Linked DNA regions of Astyanax mexicanus. The protein of the gene in region 2 purifies or fractionates together with the protein of the main gene of each other region. This does not show direct contact. Links are inferred from orthologs where the notes say so. Each region holds a gene or a part of one and is shown on either strand. Other genes may lie near its edges.

The links. Proteins that work in one complex are often made in the same cells at the same time.
Region 1: the proteins of rnf19a (region 2) and sod1 purify together in Homo sapiens (affinity purification with western blotting, with the first as the bait; 3 studies listed by BioGRID). This does not show direct contact. The link is inferred for Astyanax mexicanus from reciprocal best matches to the Homo sapiens genes RNF19A and SOD1.

Annotation. Positions count from the first base shown.
Region 1 is NC_064427.1:36,970,490-36,978,303, forward strand, and holds the start of sod1 (superoxide dismutase [Cu-Zn]), read right to left. Parts: upstream 3,006-7,814; 5' UTR 2,910-3,005; coding exon 2,841-2,909; intron 177-2,840; coding exon 80-176; intron 1-79. Other genes in the region: scaf4a (SR-related and CTD-associated factor 4), read right to left, coding at 6,967-7,814. UniProt on the Homo sapiens protein: Destroys radicals which are normally produced within the cells and which are toxic to biological systems.
Region 2 is NC_064410.1:32,967,695-32,975,247, forward strand, and holds the start of rnf19a (E3 ubiquitin-protein ligase RNF19A), read right to left. Parts: upstream 3,007-7,553; 5' UTR 2,863-3,006; coding exon 2,832-2,862; intron 1-2,831. UniProt on the Homo sapiens protein: E3 ubiquitin-protein ligase which accepts ubiquitin from E2 ubiquitin-conjugating enzymes UBE2L3 and UBE2L6 in the form of a thioester and then directly transfers the ubiquitin to targeted substrates, such as SNCAIP or CASR.

The DNA of each region.
Region 1 (7,814 bases), on a different chromosome or scaffold from region 2:
GAAGTGAAAGTATTATTAAACATCTCAGTAATTGTAATTAAGCTTTTAATACATCAGAGGGTAAAAAAAAAAAACTCACCATTTGTGTTATCTCCAAAAGCATGGACGTGAAATCCGTGCAGGCCAGGAGTGAGGCCAGTGATCTCACCTGAAACCTTTACTGGAGCACCATCACCCTGAAACACCAGAGCACTTACTGTCAGTCTCTAACAAACACACGTTTTGTTACACATTTGCTACCTCTAGGAACAGAAATGTACAGGATGGCACAGTACTGTACATCTTTTGGCATGCATATGCAAAAGTGACCTTGCAGGACTGTGCAATACCAAACTAGCAAGCCCAGCTCTGTCCTGGGGTCCTCTGGATCCAGTGGAGGTGGTGAGAGACAGGAGATTGAGGTCTAAGTTTTAGTACATGCTAAAGAACCTGTCCCAAACCCATGCACCAGCAGTGTGTGAAGGAGAAATACTGCAAGTCCTTCCTCCCACACACCATCAGACTGTACAACACACCATGCTCTCAGTAAACACTCGTTTACTATTTTATTACTACATGAAAACTACTTGCTCAGTATAGCTGTATTGTGTGCAATGTGCAAATTCACCATGTGTACCATGTTCTCTTTATCACCATTTGTGCAATATGTTTACTGTGCAATATTTCTCACCTTTCATCTACTATTCATTTGCTATTTATTCACTGTTAGTCCTTGTGCAATAATACTGGTCACAATCTACCATAATCATAACTTATCTGACTTTATCTTATCTGCACTATATGTATATACTTAAAAAAAAAAAAAACACACATTTTATATATATATATATATATATATATATATATATATATATATATATATATATATATATATATATATATATATATATATAGATGATATCCCCGATATACATATCAAAGTATAGTCTGTTAAAATGAATGACAGAATTTATTGTGAAATATAGAAAAGTGCATTGTTTAAATTCATTAAAAACTATTTTATAAATTGTTAAACTGAGGGCACATTTTAAAGTCTCTAAATTGATAACCTAACTAAGCTAATGTTAACTACTCACAGCTTTGTAGCTACAACTGTGACATGGTTTTATTGATAGATAGAAGATGAATACTAGCTCCTATATAGTTAGATAATCCACCCTTAATATATATATATATATATATATATATATATATATATATATATATATATATATATATCAGTTAAACAATTATAAAGAGTAGGGGTGTGTCATATTGTATCATTCACAATTATATCGCCAACATTTTTGAATATCGTAAACGTTATTATACCTGGAAATATCGTGCCGTATCACCCACCTCTTATCACATTAGGGTAGTACTTTTAAAGAAACATTCACACTGTTCTCATTGTTCATTATATGTATCTACTAGAGACAGATAATATCTGTCCAGTATCATTTAATTTACTTTAGTCCTGGATATATGGAGATATCTGGAGTGCATAAATAGTACAATGACAATGAGATTTGATAGAATTCTTGTATTTTTATTTTGTATCGTTATCGAGAATAAAAAAAATACCACGAAATACCGTGATATTATTTAATAAAACGAGTTATACGCAATGCTCCAGCTCTAGGCTGTTTAGTTTGTGCATGTTCAACTTGCAAACTCGTTTTTTTGGATGAATTAACCGCACGATGCAAATGACTCAGCAAGAAGTTTGGACTTGGGTCTGCGGCCGTGCAGAGGTTAACTCCCTTTTACCCAGTTTAAACTCTGATCTGGTGATTATGCCTTTTCCCCACACAGCTATTACTTATTACTACACTTATCCAACAGTAGTTAGTCGAGCTAATACTATGATACATGTAACGTTAGGTAATTAGCAGTGCTATGTTTAATGACGAGGAGCATAAACTGTAACCTAACCTAGTTGATTTAACTAGAACTAAATATATAAACCATAGTTTTCCCGTGTTTGTGACTAAAGTGAGATTTATGGAGCAGGAGATTTAGCTTGCATTAACACACAGAAAGGTGCAGCAGGATTAGCAAGGTCTGTATGAAATGCCGCTGCGCTCGTTACAAAACACTTAGCAAACCACACAGCATAGCTGCTAACCACGGGGCTCGCTAGCGGAGGAGGAGCAGAGCTACACCGGTGTTCTGTCAAGTTATGCTACCCATCGAGATATGCTTCCTAAAGGCACTGCGCATGCGCTGACCTACACCATTTAATTATTTCTTCTGTTTTTTCTTTATAATGAATAATTTTTTGTGCGGTAAACAATCTGGCCTCGCTAGCATTGCACAAAAGCGCAAAATTAAATCGACAATAATAATAAATACAATTTACTATTATTGAAAAAGAAAATACAAAAGCAGTTTGTAAAGACCTCTCATTGACATAACTTTAACATGATACAGTGATTTATTCTGTTCAAATATACTAACCCGCATCTAACTTACTGAGAGATCTGCTGGGAACGTTCTCTAAAATTGTTCTTTTTTTGTATTTTTTCCAGTTAAATATAACTTACACTAAGGTAGCGCGGTTTTGACATGGTAGCATAACTCGACAGAACACCGGATACTGTCCTTATATGAGCTAAAAACGTCAACAAATCAGGTTTGGTGATTAAAAAACCTGCAGGACGCGCTCTAAAGCACTAAAGACCCGGGTATTATCTAACATGTTAGTTAGCATTAGCTAGTAACCCAGCTGAAGCAGTGCACACCGCTCGGAGTCTGCGGGCTCGCGCCGAGTTGACACAGCAACTCAGCAGGTTAGCTAGCACAGCCAGCTCGCGCACTCCTGCACAGAAAAGTGTAAAACACCGCAATTATTCATCTACCTGCTCAAAGAACACCGTTCCGGTCACCTCTCCGGTCCCCTTCAGCACACACACAGCCTTATGCACCATGTTTATCAGAGCTCTGTAGAACTGACCCTCTGAACTGAGCTCAAAAACCCGACTCACCGCCCAGCGCTGTTTGATAAGGCGAGAAGCGACGTACTTCTCTCCAGCCAATCACAACCGCGGATCGCAGCGGGGCAGCTGATTGGCTAAGAGGCCAGGCATAAATTAGACCGGTGATGATGATTGGCTAGAAGCTCAAGCGAAAAGATAGCGCGTCGACTGCTAGCTCATATAATCTGATAAAAAAATTATTATTTTAAATCAGATTTTTTTAGGGAAGGCATAATTATATATTAAAATAACATAAATAACATACATTCTGTAAAAAGAACAATGAGCAAATAAACGAATGAATAAATACATAATACATGTGTATCTCCAAAAATTAGAATATCATTGAAAAGTTACTTTATTTCAGTAATTAGTTAAAAATGTGAAACTCATTTATTATATAGATGTATTACACACAGAATTATATATTTTAAGCGTTCTTTTATTGTTGATTATTATGGCTTAATTAGTGTCTCAAATGATTATAATTAGAATATTATACAAACCCTTTGGTTTTGGCAGTGTGGGCCATGTGCCAAGTCCTGCTTAAAAGTGAAACCCACATCTGATGGTTTGAAGAGTCGTAGTCTTCTGCTAGTGTTGGTCCACTGTGTTATATCAAGTCCAAAGTCAGTGCAGCTTTACAAACAAATTTAGGATTAATTATTTTCCATTAACAACACTGATAAATACAACCTGACTACAACAAAATAAATGCAGTGCAGATTTCACTCTTTTTTTAATTATGAACGGACCTGAACAAATCCCTTGTCTTAAGTAACTATTATTTGTACAAAACTCTGCATGTATTTGTCCACTATTTTAATATGTAATTTTCAGATCCAGAATCTTCTCTAAACTCTGGTTAAACTGTCTTAAATAAACATTTGGTGTAATAACTTACTATTAAAGAGTTTTTAGAGGTTCAGAAGTCTAGATAATTTTACTTGGCATAGCATGATTTCCTTATTAGGAATTTGTTAATATATCACATCTTAGCTGTAAAAAAAAAACAATAAAAGCAAATATCGATCGATTTTTTGACAAATTTTATTCAAAACAAATAAATAATTAGTGTGAAAATGATAAAGATCTGATATAGGTCTGACGTACAGCAGAAAGTAGACTGCTTACAGTTTTAACAAGACCAGATTAACCAGTTTCTGCTGTGTGTGCTAGACTGGCTAATCCAAAACATTACATGAATGTAATGTTAGCATTACCATTAGCTACTTTAGAGAGCAATATCAAATGTTTCAGCACTGCAGGTGTTATTTTATTATTTTTAATGCTTTTAAACGGCAGTTATAAACCTTTTAAACTTGCTATTCAGGCTGTATCTCCAGCTTCAGCTCACTAACCACAGTAGCTGTAATGCTAACACCTTTACTGCTTAAAACCTGATTAATTTTCAAAATTGTGATTGGTTATTATTTTAAGCTGATTTTAGCCAATTAACTTAATTCACACCCTTTCAACAATTTAGACTCACTCATGGGTATTCTGCTGTCATTTCTGATATAACAGGTGATACAAGACGTGAGCAGGCTCTCTATAAACTGACTGATTCTACCCAACAACGGAATAGTGGTTAAACTTGTTCCCTTTTTCATCAGTTAGCATTTCCTCTTATTATTACCTTTAAAAGTCATCACTTCCCTCATTTATATTCACATTGTTGCTGTCAAACAAAAACTTAGGATCTCCATTTTTTTTCTCTACTTGTTGTATTTACTTTTTTTTTAATCTTTTCACTGAGTCACACGGTCATGATATAAAGACCAATTCAAATTCTCCAAAATTACCTGAAATAAAAAATCTTTTTACACTGACCTTCAGTTATGAAGATTTGTCTTCTCCTTAAGAGTTACAGTATCTGACAAGTGAGTGTCAAGTAGTCAAAATAACTCAACACACAGCAACTAATATCTAAAGCGCCGGCAACAAAAGTGAGTACAAGTGAAACTGACCAAATTGTTTCCAATGAACCATTTTCTATCCCAATGTCATGTGAGAAGTTAGTTTCACAAGGTGTCAGGTGTGAATGGAGAGCGGGAGTGTTAAATTTAGGTTTTAATCACCGTCACACTCTCTCATACTGGTTACTGGAAGTTCAACATGGCACCTCATGACAAAGAACTATGAGAATGGCCTGGGAAATAATAAGATTGCCAACGCTTTGAAATTTAAATTGCAGCTTGGTGGCTAAAACCATAGAGCAGTTTAACTGGAGAGGATCGACTCAAGTGTCGACCAAAGAAGTTGAGTTCACATGTTCAGCGTAATATCCAGAGGTTGGCTTTTGAAAAGAGACATACAAGTTCTGCCAGCACTGCTGCAGAGGTTAAAAAGGGGGGGAGGGGGGGGGGGGGGGGGTCAGCCTGTCAATGCTCGCTTTGTGAAATACTGCAGCATTTGGATGAACATAGTTTACATCATTTAATAACTAATAAGTTTAGTTTTGTATCAAGTGCACTGTTAATGGTCTGCCTTTACGTATAATTTCTGTTAATAACAACAGGCACTCATTTACTGCCTTCTAATATAGCACAAGTAAATAAAAGGAAAGAATTTGTGCTGGTGAAACATTTGCACGACAAATACATCTACTGAAGGTCACTATAACCCCATCCTACTCAACACAAATTTGCTATGAAGACAAACAACACAGAATATGCTAGGTGGTGGTTCAAACTCATGCAATTACTTATTTTTCAGGAACAAAAATATATGAAAATTGACTCATCTGTGGAAAAAAAGATTTAAAAAATCATCACTTTCATTTACTGTTTGTCAAAATTTCTGAATACTCTAAAAATGTAATGTAAATAATTCAAAAGTATGTCACAATGTAAGAAAATAAGTTTCGTAATATGCATGTAGTAAATCAAATTTACACATCGCCAGAGAACATACAGTCCACACAAAATGAAAAATTCAGATGAGGAAATCATTCAGTTAAAGAACCTTAAAACTAAAGCATCTGAAAAAACAAGTGCTTAGTCAGTTTGTTCATTTTGGTATGAAAATAGTTTATTAAAACCAAATCCCTATTGCTGAAATATTAAACAAGTTCACATCTCCACAAACTTAAAAATTATACAAACATCTCATTTTCGCACGATGTAAACATGGCAAGTTAAAAACATTACAGCAAAAGGGTCTTTGTCTCTTATTTTAGTCAAGGTTTCCTATCTTCTCCATGTTCATGGGGAATACTTCAAAAACACACCTTACCTCCAAATCTACAAAGGTCATTTGAGTAGTGGAAGCATATTTACAGCAGATTATTTCCTTCTTAAATTTTTACCCCCATGTGTTTCTTTTTCTTTCTTTTTTTTAATTTACCTTTTTAGAATGACTGGTGCACACTCTAGACTTAGAGTATATCTGCACTGAATATTTTTTGTATTTTCCTTGGGTCCTACCCCTCTGATTTAACTTGTTAACCAATAAACAAGTTGTTTATTAATCTACAAATGTGTGTGAGCAGAAAAAAAAAACAAATAGAGCAGTGCAAGGGTGGTCCAGGATCAGGACTGGGAAACACTGGTTTAAAGCAACATTCAAGCTCCACAATGGAACACTGATTACAGAGCAGTGCTCCATGTTAGCCAGACTCTTAAAAGTCAATTACAGGATCATTGATTTTGACATTTTAGAAGGGGGACAAGGCATATAATTTATTTCTATAGGACCACAAACCATATAAATCAAGTTGTTTCTGCATCGTTTCACCTCTTTAGCCTGTAGTGTCCAAGATTAGCCAGGACATGGATGTAAAATAAACATACTATCTACATGGCTTTTACCCGATGTTCTTCTACCTTAAATATCTGGCCTTTATTTTCAGGTTTGAACCCATGTGATGCTTGATACTCATGTCTTTCCATTACCATTCTAAATGGTGTTTAGGCAAATGTTCACACAAACATGTGCATCTTGTCAAGTAAGAAAACAAAAAGAACAAATATCATATGGGCATTGCAGTCCAGGGGATAAGCGTAGCCTATGATTCGTCTGTCTTTGTTTGTTCTGCAGGTTGGTTCTGAGTTTCTGCTGCCGGTTCAGAGGGCTGTGGTTCTGCAGTCACTTCGGTGGGAGGGGGCGGAGCTTCTGCCTTGGCTTGAGTAAGTTCTTTAGCAGAGTCTCTAGACTGCTCCGAGCTGCTAGAGTCTCCGAGCGCCTCATGTCCGTTGGGTTGACTGCCTGCGTTGGACTGAGTGCCCATATTAGCCAGTCTGTCAAGTCTGTCATCCTTGTCCCAGCGGGTACTTCGCTCTCGCGTTCCCGATTCCCTGTCTCTGCGTTTGGGTCGCTCCTCACCCTCCCTACCTTGCTCTCGTCCTTGTTCCCTCTCTCCGTCCGGACTCCTTCTCCAGTCTCTGCGCTCCCGTGTCCTGTCCCACCCACCCCTCTGCTCTGCCTCCTCGTTCCAGCTCCCGAAGCGTTCCCGCCCTTCCAACTTGTCCCCTCCACGGCCCTCGCCAAACGACCTGCGTCCACCAAACCATTCCTGATCCCTGTCTCGCTCCCGGGCCGGCCCGGAATGCTCACCCCTGAAGGGCCGTCCCTCAGGATCTTCAGGTCCGTCTGGTCCTCTGGGGCCAGTAGGCCTCATGAACGGAGGCCCTGGGTGAGGAAAAGGGCCTCGCATGACATGTGGAGGGGGATGCATGCCAAATCCACTTGGTGGAGGCTCTCGATGATGCATCATCTGAGGAGGGCCCCTGGGAGCCATCATCTGTGGAGGCATGGGGGGCATGCCTGGCCGTGGAGCCATGGGGAAACGCTGAAGGTGTGGAGGGGGCATCCCTGGGGGACGTTGGAGAGGCATCATACCTGGTCTTGAACCCA
Region 2 (7,553 bases):
GCGAGGAGAACCATCAACGCGAAAGAGACGGTATGTTGACTTGTTTCAAAACAGTGGAAACGAAGTTGCGATCTCATTTAAAGCACAACAATCCAGCCAATTTTCCGAGCTGAATATTGAATATGAATATTGTTACCCTCAGAGAGATCCTGCATCAAGCCCCACATGATAAACATGTTTGCGTCCCTTGCTCAGAATTTGTCTGACAGTTATGTTAAAAATTCCCTTTATAGCAAGAGTTCTTGCCTGCTCAACCATCTGTGTGATCATATGGACACTTGTGTCTTTGGACGCCAATTTGTGTTTTACAGTATAGACATATATAATCAAAAAAGGATAATCTGCAAGTGCCTTTGTGTTATGTCCAGAGTTTTAAAAAAAAGTTGTATTAATGTAAATGTTACTTATCTATACGTTGTTACTTTTTGTTGTTTAATATTTAGCGCAGTTTTCTCAGAACCCACAAAGTCCCAGGGTGGTTGTACTTTATTTGATTTATTTTGAACATTAAAATATTTGTAAATTGGAAGCCCAGTGTCTGTTCTTAATAATATAAAAGTTAGTTTCACTGTAAAATGGTGTAATATTATTGTTATGCTAGTATTTTATTACTGTTGCACACTGTCTTGAAGCTCCTTTGCACCTCTTTGCAAACTCCTTGAAACACCTCTACCACTGCCACCACATAACATAACTAATAAAATGTCTAAGACAATGTTTACAGAAAATGGATAGCGTTGGTAGACATTTTTGTGCAAAATCCTGTAATATCTTGTCATTCTGTAAGACTAAAATTCTAAAATAATACATATGGCATAAGGTAGGAAGCTAAAATCATAATTTGGCTTTACTGCAGTGAACTGTACCCTCCACATGTAGGGACAGTCCATGTACCCTGCTTTACTGCCAGCATGAACCTTATCTGATACAGTGAGATAGGTGTATAAAGTTTGACAGAATTCATGGTGTGCTTCGGTATATTATTCTACTGTGGCATGTTGATAGTGCTGGTAGTATGATGCTTCATTTCGTATGGTGTTTTAAATTCATCTAATGTTTTAAAATAATTTAGACAAAGGGCAAACACTTTCAGAAGTAACTTGTTGCTAGTGACAATCAGTTTAGCACACATGCCATCAAGCCTGTAAGCTTTAAGCCCCAGAAATACACACACACAAAAGACAAAACCATGTATTTTTTTTAACCACAAAACTACCAATCTTAAAAAAAACATGGTCTTAAAAAAAGTGTGTCTTTCTTAAATAAAAAAGAAATAAATGAAAAAAACTTGAAAACTTCTTGAAAACTAACAAAAAAGTCACATTTAAATCACATAATGTATATACAGCTCTGAAAAAATAAGAGAGCACTTAAAATGATGAGTTTTTGATTTTACCCATTTAAAAATCTGATGATGGATGATCACAAGCCATCAAACCAAGCTGAACTGCTACCAAATATTTATTTCCAAACTTTATGAATATGTCCTTGTTTTTGTAGGTTTTGTATTATTTGAGGTCTGAAAGCTCTGCATATTTTTTTGTTATTTCAGCCATTTCTCATTTTCTGCAAATTAATGCTATAAATGACAATATTTTTATTTGGGATTTGGCAGAATATGGTCCATAGTTTATAGAATAAAAGAACAATGTTCATTTTACTCAAACATATACCTATAAATGGTAAAAATTGTAAAAAAAAAAAAAATGGGCTCATAATTTTTTTTCAGAGCCGTATGTATACACTGTGCTGATGTAAATTCTGAACATATTTTACAATGCTTAAACAAGAAACAAACAATCAGCTAACTTAGCTGCTAAGACTGATCTGCATCCCAGATCATCGTGCATCCCTGATTCAGACCACCCACGATTAGGCAATGTCTAAAAATCCAGCTCCACATTACAGAAGCAGGAATAAAGTACAACACACTTCACTAAAACTTACTCATACCCTCAGTATTACGACAGAGAAATCCCTGTAGGAAGCCGAAGGACAGATTAATGGTGAAATCTCTCATGGCAGGATCATTTCACAGCCCGGCAACAAACAAGCTTTTATAAAGGGATTTACCAAGATTTTTATTCGCGTCTGGAGTCTTATATAAATCAGAAGCTAACGCCTCTTCCAACACTACCACACACAGTGACCTAGCTAACAAACTAGCTACCGACGCTTATATTACAGTTAGTAACAGCGGGGTGTTTTCTAAAGTCCTGTACAAAGTATCGTTAAATTCAACACGTTAATTACATTAAGGTTCTGTTCAGTTATAAAACCTTGACTTTACACTACGGCTAAGCGTGAAGGAAGCAAGGGTTAGCTATAACCGATACAAATGACCAAACGGATGATTAAATACCAACAATACAACACATACCTTATTAATATACAATAGCTAATACATCAAACGAAGCTCATATTTGTATCAAATGTAGCTAACAAAAGGAAACGAAACACACCGCCAGAGCAGAGAGATATGCGGCTAGCGGGCGGGCTAGCTACACCTAGGTTAGCTTAGCTAGCGTTAACACAGGTTAGCTAACTCCCAGGCCTGCTGCTTATTAAAGCTATTTTGTGTTCTCTGTAGATTCCCCCTTCTAAACTACAGACGAACATTTCACACAAAACACAAACTAAAACACAAAGAGTCGACCTTAAACTCGGTTTGCGCTGATTAACAGATGAACAGAGTCGACCTTTAAAGCGTCTTTTACGCTTTGTTTGGCGAACTGTAAACGTTATTTATGCTAGGCTATCTGACGACGGTTGGATATATTTGAAGTTGTGAGAAAAGCGAAGAGATTTTTTTTCTCTCAGAAATATCTTACCTTTCGAGTCACCCACGTAACAGCATTTCATTCCACTAGGCGGGAAGGAGCGACAAACACCACAGTCGAGTTAAAATAAACGCTTTTAGAGTTGTTCCTTACTTGAAACTTATCGACTTCTCCCCACCGTTCTCTGCTCTCTCTCTCTCTGAGTCACTGTAACCGCCTCTCTCTCTCTCTCCCTCTCCCTTCGGCCCCGTCCAAATTCACCATCTAAACTCTAAGCCCCGCCTCCTCCTCCAAGTCCGCATATCTGCCAATACCATGACTTGCAAGGGATCGAGTTCGAGTAGGCGAGGGTTAGAGTGAAACTGTTGAATTGGAACGCGCCGGCTGCCTGCAATTCTCAAATTGTTTTAAAATCGGGTCTCTCGCGAGAGCTTACCATAACAGGTCATAGATCCGACTAATATTGGCTTTTTTTCTTTTTCCGTCACATCTGTTATTTACTGTATATGTATAGTTAATGAGGTCAAATTTAATTTATGTTTGATTTATGTTCTTTGATAAATTTTTTGGTCTACCTTGTGACGAATGATTGTTGATGTAAATTATATAAATACTTTTATTTTTTATTGTTTATCCCATTTTCACCCCAATTTTACAAGTCCAGATACCCAACCCCCTCATTAGTTCTCCCCCTATCACTAGTGACGCCCCAACACCAGGAAGGTGAGGACTAACACATGTCTCCACCAATACATGTGAGGTCCTCCACCACCTCTGTTCAAACTGCTGCTGATGGAGCATTGCTGATTCGTTTGGAGGAAAGCGCAGCAACTCAGTTCCAAAACATCAGCTCACAGACGCCTTGTGTTGCTCGATATCAATCTAGGAGTGATGTGGGGAGAGAGCGCCATCTACCCACCCAGGATGAGGATGAAGATTCGAACCAGCGATCTCCTGATCAAAGTGGCTAATAAAGCTAATAACTTGGTTGTGCCATTCTTGGCGTGAACAACTGCAATCAAGTTTTACCAAATACTGGCAATGAGTCTTTCACATCTCTGTGGAGAAATTTGACTCACTCTTCTTTACAAAATTGTTTTAATTCAGACACATTGCAGGTTTTTGAGCATAAACATTGCTTGTTTAAGATCGTGCCACAGCATCTCAATCAGATTTGGACTAGGCCACTTATTTTTTTACCATTCAGATGTGGACTTGTTTGTGTGCTTTAGATCATTGTCCTGCTGCAGAACCCAAGTACGCCCGAGTTTAAGGTCACGAACAGAGGGCCGATATTCTCCTTCAGGATTGTCTGGAAACAAGCTGAATTCCTGGTTGTGTCTATTAGAGCAAATTGTTCAGGTCCTGAAGCAGCAAAGCAGACCCAGAAAATCACACTACCTGACATTCAGTATAATGTTCTTTTTCTGAAATTATGTATTGTAATAATTTAGTTCAGCTGGTCCCTGCTGTGAAGGTCCACCAGTGTTCCATGTTTTCTATTTTTGTGATTAATATCTTTCTCTGTGGGTCGCTGGAGTCCCAAAGCCTTAGAAATGACTGTGACTTTTCTCATCTATTTTTGAATTTCTTCAGATCACGGAATAATGTGTTGCTTCTTGAGATCTTTTATCTGCTTCATGTTGTCCGACAAGTGCTTTTCAAGTGATTTCTTGATTCTACACTTGTCTGGCAGTAATCAGGCCTGGTTGTGTTTATGTAACCTGAACTCAGCTTTCCAAAAAGTGTGCTTAATCACAGTTAATTTTTGGGGGGCAAAGAATATTTCACACAGGGCTGGATTGGTTTGGATAGTTTTCTCCCTTAATAAATGAAATCATGATTTAAAACATGCTTTCTATATTTGTTTGATAATCTGAAAAATGTAAGTATGACAAAAATGTAAAAACTAAATAAATCTGCAAGGGGGCAAATACTTTTTTTTACATCACTGTATGTTATATTAAGCTGCATTCCATTGTATCATTAGTGCAGGCATAAGCCACTATATATACAGCATATCACACATTATTTTTACAAAAGAAAAATACTTTTAGCACGGTTTATAACAAAATATTATGTTTTTATGTGATTTTGCTACATTTTTACATGGTCTAAGTCTGTTTTTTATTTCAAACATTTTACAAATTCTAAGGCCTGCTTTCAGTAGGTTTAAAACTTGGTTTTAATATGTTTTCAGACGGTTTCATATTTCCTCTTGTTCAGACCGTGCTATTTGTGTCCTGCTCTGTTTTTTTTTCTGATGAAAAAGTTAGGTAGGGGATTCTTCAGCTTTGGTTTACGGCTCTTTTGTTGTGTTACTATTTTTGGTGCTGCTGCTCAGGTTTCGCTGCAGCGTTTGCAGGCATGCTGCTTTGATCTGTGCACAACATTTTTGATCTGACGGAGCTACTCTTTCTGCAGGGCTTCATTCTGACACCCAAACTGCCCCACCCTCCAGAGTCAATAAACTGTACAATATGTTCATTCATGTGGGCCCAGACTTCTAATTAATTAATAATCTCCCCAATGTATTCATATTGTCCTCCAACACAGGCTTAGACTAACACAATGTTACTGTGAGGAGGAAAGCTAGCATGTGCTTCCTCTAAGACATGCAATTAGGCTGTGACCTTGGCTTAAACAATGCATATCACAATACATATCATCATACAGGGGTTAAGACTCAATATATTGCAATATTTTGATGGGGAGGTACCACCAGACCTGGACTTGAAAGCCGTGATATCATTTTTGGTTAAGGATGACAAAAATATTATGAAATTAGTAATTCAAACCCACCTTTGTCATTGGCTGTTTTTTTCTCTTTTTTCAGCTTTTTTCTTTTCTGTTCTAGAGGGATACATTTTTTTAAGACATGGCTTTGCCGACTTGCACTTACTTCACTTCTCACATTAATTATCGATAACCAAAGAGGTGCATACCTGCATTTGCCCAACAGTGGCAGCAGCCGACTGCAGGAATCGATACAAGATCTTAGAAAAGAAATAAATGTTGTAAAATGCTAAAGGCATTCCAACCAAATATTAGTGTGTGACCTTTTTTCTGACCAGGTGGAGTATATTGTGTGACAGATCTACCTAGGAGAAGCAGAGTAAACATGGAAACACAATGCTGAAAAAAAAAGAAACGGCCTTGAATGAGGTTGTGGGTGGGAGAACAGGGTCAGCATGGTCTGTACAAAATGAATGTGAGGAGCACAGAGGTCTGTGGTGGGTACAAGGCAGATCTTAGTTTCTCATTATTTCCTTTGCACCTTAAATAGTGCAGCAGTATGGGACACATACGAAAGCTTGTTAGAGTAGCTGCTGCATCATTTAAGTTGGAATGCAAAATTAAATACAGAAACCGCTTAAAAAGAATACATTTACAAGAGAGGCAAACACACGTCTTAACTAAATAGTTTTGTTCACCATGGCTAAGTTCAAATAACCAGGGTGAAATTTTGCCCTAATGTAACACAGATATGTTTTTTTGTTTGTTTGTTTGTTTTTCTTATACAATTTTAGATGAGTCAGATTTGGGTCACTTTAAGATGTAAATCTTATAAATCTATTCCCTTTAAATGTGTTTTTACCCAGATTTAAAGTTAAGGCCAAGCTATAAGAGTCATGAACCACAACTGTGAAAAACATTCATTTAGTGAAGTGAGTCTTTTGAATGGTAGTACATAATCACTTCCTGCACTTCCTTTAACTCAGGCTCCCTAAAGAAAAGGACCATTCAGTATAAAACAGACAAATGGCCAGTGCTATGTGACACCAGTGTGTAATAGAAACAGGTGTTTTTAGATCTGCCACAATTTCCCCATATACTCTTTCGCCTATAAAAGATTGCTGTTTTTGTTACATAATCCCTGATTTTATTCTTTGGAAGGCTACATGTTTTTGTCAGTCAGTAGGTGCCGTGTTGAGGCAACACTCCCCCTCATTTACAGATAATTGCAGGGCTACTGAGCAGGGGCATTACAAAGAACCAACTGACCTCATGTTAACACATGAAATAATCTGCATCACCACATAATGCAGACCTAATGTGTTTGGCAAAAACTCTTTCTATTCATCTTCATTTTTTCTCTCAGGTCAGTTTCAGAACTTCATTATGGAAATGTCCTCTCAGGTTCCTGCAGAAACTCCCCTGGCAGCTATGAGAGGAATGAGCGTTATGTAAATGCAAAAACATGCAGGTGCATTTCTGAAGGTATTTTATACACTCTATACTTTCAGTTTACTGTAGATTTATCAGCTTTGTACTGTGGTTACAAGAAAAGCAAACACACATTTAAATGAACTAGTTCAATTAACCAGGATAAAAAGAATTACGTTTAATTTTTGCCTCATTGTGACACAGATCTGATTATTTAAAAAAAAATCTGATTTAAGATGAGTCAGATTTAAATCCCTTTCAGATGTGACAAAGTTATATAGAATCTAATTCATATATATTCCCTTCACTGAAAAATCAAGCTTTAAATGTTTGTGTTAGCTTCATGCTAACATATTATTAGAATCCCTTAAGGATGCCAGCAGAAACTAGCATCATAAAACTTGTTTTTGAGCAAGATTTGACAGTTATGGCCTGAAGTGAAGGCCAAGCTATAAGAGTCATGAACCACAACTGTGAAAAACATTCATTTTGTGAGGTGGGTTTGTGAATGGTAGTACAGAATCGCTTCCAGCACTTCCTTTACCTCAGGCTTCCTAAAAAAAAGGACCATTCAGTGTAAAAACAGCTAAATGGCCAGTGTATGCT